2 linked regions of the Macaca fascicularis genome follow. The protein of the gene in region 2 purifies or fractionates together with the protein of the main gene of each other region. This does not show direct contact. Links are inferred from orthologs where the notes say so. Each region holds a gene or a part of one and is shown on either strand. Other genes may lie near its edges.

Region 1 (3,648 bases), on a different chromosome or scaffold from region 2:
CCCCAAGATCCTGGACTTCCACCCCGTCACCATGGCAACCTTCACCATGACGCTGGCCAGGGTCTGCCTCTGCCCTATGGTGAGTGGGAGAGGCTAGGGCTGGGACTGGGAGGGGAGGTGGGAGCAAGGGGCTGCGTCCCTTCCTTGGCTTCCCCCACTGCTCAGGCAGGAGAGTTTTACAGTGAAGAGGCCGGGTTTGGGATTCAGACAGACTTAGGCTTGATTCTGCTTCTCCGGGGGTACAACTCTCAAACCTCAGTTTTCTTATCTGTGAAATGGGAATGTATCCTCCCTGATCTCCCAGGGCGGTTGAGAGGATTGAGAGAGAACTGGGGTAAAACACTTAGGTACCCCAGGGTCTGGCACAGGTAGGCGCTTACTCAGCATCTTGGTTAACGTGGCTTTGCCGGGTACATGGTCTGGCTGTGACCCAGGTAAGTGGGCCTTCCTGTCCATCTCCATCTCTGTAACATGTACATGTCAACATGGGCCCTCAGTCCCTTATCTGAAGTCCCGAGGCTGGTTTTTTGTTTTGAGATGGACTCTTGCTCTGTTGCCCAGGCTGGAGTGCAATGGCACGGATCTCAGCTCACTGCAACCTCTGCCTCCTGGATTCAAGTGATTCTCGTGCTTCAGCCTCCTGAGTAGCTGGGATTACAGGCGTGTGCCACAACGCCCGGCTAAATTTTGTACTTTTAGTAGAGACAGGGTTTCACCATGTTGGCCAGGCTGGTCTCAAGTGATCTGCCCACCTGGTCCTCCCAAAGTGCTGGGATTACAGGTGTGAGCCACTGCGCGCAGCCATTTGTTTTGGAATTCAGAATTTTCCAGCCTTTAGAGACAAGGCATATGCTGTGTAGTGTGTGACGCCCCCAGTGGGGTCTGGGTGGCTCCCCCGAGTCAAACTCCTATTTTGGCAGTAAAAGATTTGGAAGCATCACATTAAGGAGTAAGTCAGGCCTCTGCAGAGACTCAGGGCAGGGCAGGTTTTGCTACTTAATGAGTTTGTGCCAAACTGAAAAAGAAATGTGTTCAGAGCTTTTGGCTTTTGGAGTTGCCCTGTCAGAGGTTGTGGACCAGTGATGACCACCCACTGCATGGTGGTTGTGTGAGGTTGCCGGCTGGCGGGGATGCCCACCGGCATAGTGAGGGGTGTTCTTCGGGATCCGGCTGGCCTGGGGCCTGGGGCTGGCTAGAGTGTAGCTGCTGGTGGAGAGTGTGGACAGACTCGGGTCCAGTTCCATGTTTGCCACCTATTCACTGTGTGACCTTGGGCAGGCAACTCACCTTTTCTGAGGCCAGGGTAGCTGAGGGTTCATTCAGTGACACTGTGTTAATAAAAAGTTTAGAGCAGACTGGGTGTGGTGGCTCACTCCTATAATCCCAGCACTTTGGGAGGCCAAGGTGGGACAGTCGCTTGAGGCCAGATGTTCAAGACCAGACTGGGCAACATGGTGACGCCCTGTCTCTATTAAAAAAAAAAAAAAAAAAGCTTAGAACAGCACCAGCAGGTGGTCAGCACTCACACGCTGGAGCAGTTGCTGCTGCCTCGCTTATCATGATCTCTGTTGCTCTCTTCAGATCATCGGCCGTGGCAATGACCAGGTGGCCATCAGCTCCAAATTTGAGACCCGGGAGGATATTGGTATGCTGCCAGTGGGGCTGGTTTCTGTGGGTTCCAAGAGGGAGGTGTATCAGTCAGATGGGCTGAGTCACGCTGCTGTAACAAATGTCCCTGGCCTTAGTTGCTTAGCCCAGAGCTTCCTTCTTGCCCATGGGACACGTCCACTGCGAGCTGGTAGGGGGCCTGCCCTGTGTCTCCTCACCTGGGAACCTCCATCGCTGGGTGCGTCAGAGGCAGCGTGATATGACAGGTGGGATCACAGTGGTCACAGTGAATTGTGCACTGGTTCCTAAGGGTGCTCCCCTGGAAGTGACACATGGCCTTTTTTTGAGACAGAGTCTTGCTCTGTTACCTAGGCTGGAGTGCAGTGGCATGATCTCGGCTCACTGCAACCTTTGCCTTGCGGGTTCAAGCAGTTCTTGTGCCTCAGCCTCCCGAGCAGCTGGATTTATAGGCATCTGCCACCACGCCAGGCTAATTTTTGTATTTTTAGTACAGATGGGGTTTTGCCGTGTTGGCCAGGCTGGTCTCAAACTCCTGACCTCAGATGATCCACCCACCTCGACCTCCCAAAGTGCTGGGATTACAGGCGTGAGCCGCCGCGCCTGACCCCTTCTGCACTGATTTCATTGGCCATGGCAAATTACATAGCCAGGTGTGACTTCAGGAAGTGGCAAGGAGGGTCCTCAAACACGCCTGGGAGGAGGAGGAAGGGGATGTGTGTGAATAGCCTGACAGCCAGCCTCAGTGGGGTTTCCAGAAACTCTAGTTTGAAGACAGAGAAGGGAGGAGGATCTGAGACAGGAGAGGGCCTAACCTCTGACTCCTCGCAGCTGTGATCCGGAACTACGGGAACCTCCTGCTGGAGATGTCTGCTGTGGTCCCTGATGGCATCGTGGCCTTCTTCACCAGCTACCAGTACATGGAGAGCACCGTGGCCTCCTGGTATGAGCAGGTATGCCTGGCCACCCCCTCCCTGCACTTGCTCTCCTCAGCCCCTGGCACTGCAGGAGGGGAGTCACCTGTTCTCCTCAGCCCCTGGCACTACACTGCTATGTCAGCTTCATTCCTCTTACCCTCTGATGGTGACAGGTGTCCTGTGTGACAGGAGAGTGCATGCAGCATGTAGGAATGGGGTGTAAGCAGCACATACCCTATGCCCCGCCCCCAGTACATCAGGCTGAGAACGCAGACATAAGCCCCAATGTGGGCCCCTCCCTCAGAGGAGTACCCTGTGGCGGAGTCACCCCCACCTTCTAGGTTCCTTGCTCCCCTGCTGCTCTTTGGGGCTACCCCATCCCTGTGATCCTCCAGCACAGATGGCCTGGTGGGGAGGCCCAGGTAGCAGGTGTGACTCTATCTAGGTTAGAGGAAGGTTCTAGAGAATCAAGGCTGGACTGAGACTCAGGGCAAAGCCTCTCAAGGGTCTGCAGGAGCCCTTTCAGGGAAGCAGGCAGAGGAAGTCATGGGGCATTCTGGAAACAGGGCTCACCACAGCCAGTCCCTGGGTGGGAGGGGAGGCCACTCTGCACTTTGTGCCTCTGAGCACACCATGGCCAGGCTCTCAGGAGTGGGTGAAAGCACATTGGGGCGAGGTGAGTGAACCTGGCTAATCCAAGTATTGGAATGGCACTCATGGGAGGCAGGAACCTCATCCTCACAGCCGGGACCTTGGCCTTGTGCTTCAATAGGTGGCTTCCACACGGCGGAAAGGTGATCCAGTCCCCACAGCCCAGGTGCCTTTTGTGTCCTATTTAAGACAACTTTGTCTTAAATACCCCAAGGTCATGAAGAGAGGCTGCTGTGTTTCCTTCTAGGAGCTTGTGGTTTTAGCTTTCACATCTAGGTCTATGAGGTACCTCAAATTCATCTTTCTATATGGTGTAAGGTAGGGGGTCAAGGTTCATTTTTTGGTTCCATTTGGAAATCCACTTGCTCCAGTAAAAGCTTTCCCCACTGAACTGCACAGGTGGCTGTGTGTTTCTGGACTCTCCATTTTGTCCCACTGGTCTGTGTCCTTGCAC
Region 2 (3,748 bases):
CTTTATATAGACATTTAATTATCTAGATCACTTATTTTCCTATCTTTTGTACCATTAATGTTTTTCTCCATTAAATTATTCTTTCCCCCATATGCAACATTTTAGGTTGTTCACAATTCGTTGTTATCAATTTGCCATGCCCTTCAATCTTCTCTTTCTCTTTTTCTCTCTTAGCCAATTTACGACACCAGATTAGCCACATATGTTGAGTGTGTGGATCGCCAAAATTATAAACCACAAATGGCATAAGTTTGAGGAATTCAAATAACTCTGGCAAACTCTAACCTCAACTGCACCCAACAAAAATGAACAAGAAAAGACTTTCCCTATCTTAAGCCTCTAAAAACATTTTCATAGAAAGCAGAGTTAAAGCCATCCTGCCACTTCTTTTTAGGCTTTTCAAGACCTAAATTCTCTAGGTCTCATCATCTTTCTCTTTCTATTTATTTATTTATTTAGAAAAGCTATTTGCCATAGGGAAATTTGGATATATAATAAATACATGAGAGAATAAGGTATGCCTAAATGGGACACTTCAGAATCAACATAAATTTTGGATCTCACCTGCAATTTTGAAAGTCCTATTAATTTAAAAACTAGTAAATACCTTAATATTCATGATAGCTTACTGTAAGATTCCCTAGAGGCAATGAAGATGGGAATCTCAAGAAAACTAAAACTACCATACATCTTGGCTTCAGAGGTGAAAATAGGGGGAGAGGATTGGCTAGTTATCAACAGAAGGGAAAGTGCTTTTTGCACAGAGAAAGAATAGACAAGGCAACAAAAGTGGCAAACTGTAAGGGCCAATACACATCCACTGCTTCAAGTTTTTCAGCCATGTTCCATTCTCAGAGATTTCTGGTAGTACTTCAAGAACACCGATCTCCAAACTCCTCCTGAAAAGGGCTAGGAATGCTTCTGCCTGAAGATCTTACCTATTCTTTCTGGGCCCCATGATCTCCCTACATGATTGATCAACCTACTATTTCAACTCGAAAAAGCCTTTTCACAAATGTCAACTTCAGTGAGGCCTCCATTTAAAAATGAACACCCTACCAAGTCCTTTCCTAATTTCTGATTACACCCTGTGAATTTACATCAACCTACCCCACACCCTCAGTTTATGCCTCTTTTGAACATTCCTGCCGGGCTTCTCCTTTAAATCTTGCCTGGAAGGGGCGGAGCTATGTCCCAGGCTCACCGGGAGGAGCGTTCCGTAGGCTCCGCCCACCTACGTCTCAGAGGGCGCCCCAACGAACCCTGGATAAGGTCTCTTCCTAGTCCGCTCCGGAAATGCGACTGCGTACGCGCTGGACACGCAGTCGTGACGTCAGCGCGCCCGCGCCGGCTGGCCGGACGCCCTAGGCTTCCGCGAGATCTTAGGTGGGGGTTCGGTTGCTTTACGCCACGGCACTGCTGCGGTTGGGTTGTCACCTGTAGGCTGTCTGGACCTGGTCACGATTCCACAATGTACCACAACAGTAGCCAGAAGCGGCACTGGACTTTCTCCAGTGAGGAGCAGCTGGCAAGACTGCGGGCCGACGCCAACCGCAAATTCAGATGCAAAGCGGTGGCCAACGGGAAGGTGAGGTTTTCCCGACGGTTGCCCAGTTGCTTGGTCACTAAATTCTGAGCAGCTGCGGGAGCTCTTCTGGCTCCCAGGACAGTCTCACTCCCTCATTTCTCTGCCTCTGCGGCGCGGAGTGCGTTTATCTATTAAAATAAGCGAGCACCTCGCGAGGTTCCGTGGGTACAAAGACGAACAACGCCATCCCCGTGGTCGAATGGCAGACAAGTAACCAGTCTTTGTAACGTGGTGAAGAAGAGAGTAGGTAGTGTGCTAAGGTAGTGCGTGGCAAGAGCCGTTCACTTGTCAAGCGGTGATGTTGGGGAAGGTTTTTCCCAGTAGCCAATGCGGAGAAAATGGGGAAAGGACGTTCCAGGCAGTCAGAACTACCGTGCAGAGTGGGAGGGAGGTCAGAAGTTACAGGGCTGGTGCGTGGACGTGTTTGTGGTCGTATGTGGCCGAATGTGAGTACCTGTACAGGAATGGCTGGGGAGGGTAGGAAGGGAACTTGTTTGTAAGTGGAAGTGAGGCGTTTGAAATTTCCATTGAAAGGATGAGGAACCTTTGAAATATTTAAAATGGGAAGCTAACCTTATCAGATTTCCGTTCTGGAAACAGCGCTCTAGCAACCTCGTGGTGAATGGGTTGGATGAGGCGGGAGACCGGCGACGGAATACAAACCAAGTGACTAAAGATAAGGTTTGGACTGTGGCCCGCTAGCCAAGTCCCTTCTGTTACAGCTCTAGGACTGGTTTAATCTTTCTTACAAGCTCCACTCCAGCAAGTGTTCAGTGCCTCCAAATTACTGACACTGAATTACTTTACTTTCTACCTTTAATTCACATCACTGATTTTAGCACCTGAATTAGTTTCCTTAAGGGCTGCCTTAAAAAAATCACCACAGACTGGGTAGCTTAAAATAACAGAAATTTATTGAAACATTTGCTGTTTTTTTACAACTTGTGTCGTAATGACTGACCGAGAAACGAATGTTGGAAGCTTTCCAATCATATTTGTAAAAAGTCTATCTACTTTTAAATTTGTAAATAATGATATCACAGCTGTGAGCATATGCACATAGCCTATCGTGATTGTTTATATAATGAAGCAAAGGTCTAGCTGACATTCCGAAAAGTTGTGAAATGATGGTACAGTTTTAGTTTATTGTTTTCCTACAGCTATTTTGTGTAATGATTAGCGAATCTATAAAGAAAACGAGGCGTGATATATTCCCCTTCGTTGGAGATATAAACTAAATTTAATCTGGATAGAGAAAAATGTTTTACAATTGTTTAATTCATTGAATTCATTGAACTTGTGTTGTAATTGTTGATCTAAAGGTTCTTCCGAATGATCCAGTCTTTCTTGAGCCTCATGAAGAAATGACACTCTGCAAATACTATGAGAAAAGGTTATTGGAATTCTGTTCGGTGTTTAAGCCAGCAATGCCAAGGTCTGTTGTGGTAAGTTACAGTAGTGATGAAATATAATGTCCTTTAGTTGACTTGTGAAATTTGACCTCTTCTAAATTCCCTGTCCACTCTAGTCTTAAAAATTCACGTTAGTTACAATTAATTAGTTTTTGGCACATTATATCTTTTTCAGTTCAGGCCTTAACTCTTGAATTGCTGTATCATATCTTCAAAAGTATTTCAAGTCTCATTTTGTGGTCAGAAAAAAATTTGAGGTCAGGTAATGTTATAAAGAAAGAAACAAAATAAATTACTTTCCTCTAAGTTCTCAACTAGTGAGCCATAGAACTGGGACTAGAACATAGACTACTTGCTTTTCCAACTCTGTGACACCCAATAAATGTTTGAAGTAATGCATTCTTTCATAATTGGTAATCATATGCCCCAGCTGAAACTGATACCATAAGATTTTTTTAAGCCTTAATTAGTAGAAGCTGGAGTTTTATCTTTGGTTAAAAAAGATTGTCTTATTGCTTCAGATGTATGGTTCTGAGGACCTGTTTGTTTTTTGCTGGGGTGGGCAACCGTGAGGAGAAACAGGTAGCTGAGATTAAAAAGCAGAAAGATAAAAAAGCTAGAGTGGGAGGGTGTTTAAAATGTCTTTACGTTATTCTCTCACAGGTTTGTTGCAAAGAACAAATATAGAAGTGTATCTTAAGTAAAAGACTGTTAAATTTTAAAGTTATACAGTGTGACTAGCTTACGA

What was found. The genes of interacting proteins can lie anywhere in the genome.
Region 1: the proteins of CCNH (region 2) and ERCC2 purify together in Homo sapiens (affinity purification with mass spectrometry; 3 studies listed by BioGRID and IntAct, counting the BioPlex papers as one, with this or other methods). This does not show direct contact. The link is inferred for Macaca fascicularis from reciprocal best matches to the Homo sapiens genes CCNH and ERCC2.

Annotation. Positions count from the first base shown.
Region 1 is NC_088393.1:53,406,147-53,409,794, reverse strand, and holds part of ERCC2 (general transcription and DNA repair factor IIH helicase subunit XPD), read left to right. Parts: coding exon 1-79; intron 80-1,581; coding exon 1,582-1,645; intron 1,646-2,457; coding exon 2,458-2,579; intron 2,580-3,648. UniProt on the Homo sapiens protein: ATP-dependent 5'-3' DNA helicase. Component of the general transcription and DNA repair factor IIH (TFIIH) core complex, not absolutely essential for minimal transcription in vitro.
Region 2 is NC_088380.1:91,396,195-91,399,942, reverse strand, and holds the start of CCNH (cyclin-H), read left to right. Parts: upstream 1-1,361; 5' UTR 1,362-1,471; coding exon 1,472-1,588; intron 1,589-2,910; coding exon 2,911-3,033; intron 3,034-3,748. UniProt on the Homo sapiens protein: Regulates CDK7, the catalytic subunit of the CDK-activating kinase (CAK) enzymatic complex. CAK activates the cyclin-associated kinases CDK1, CDK2, CDK4 and CDK6 by threonine phosphorylation.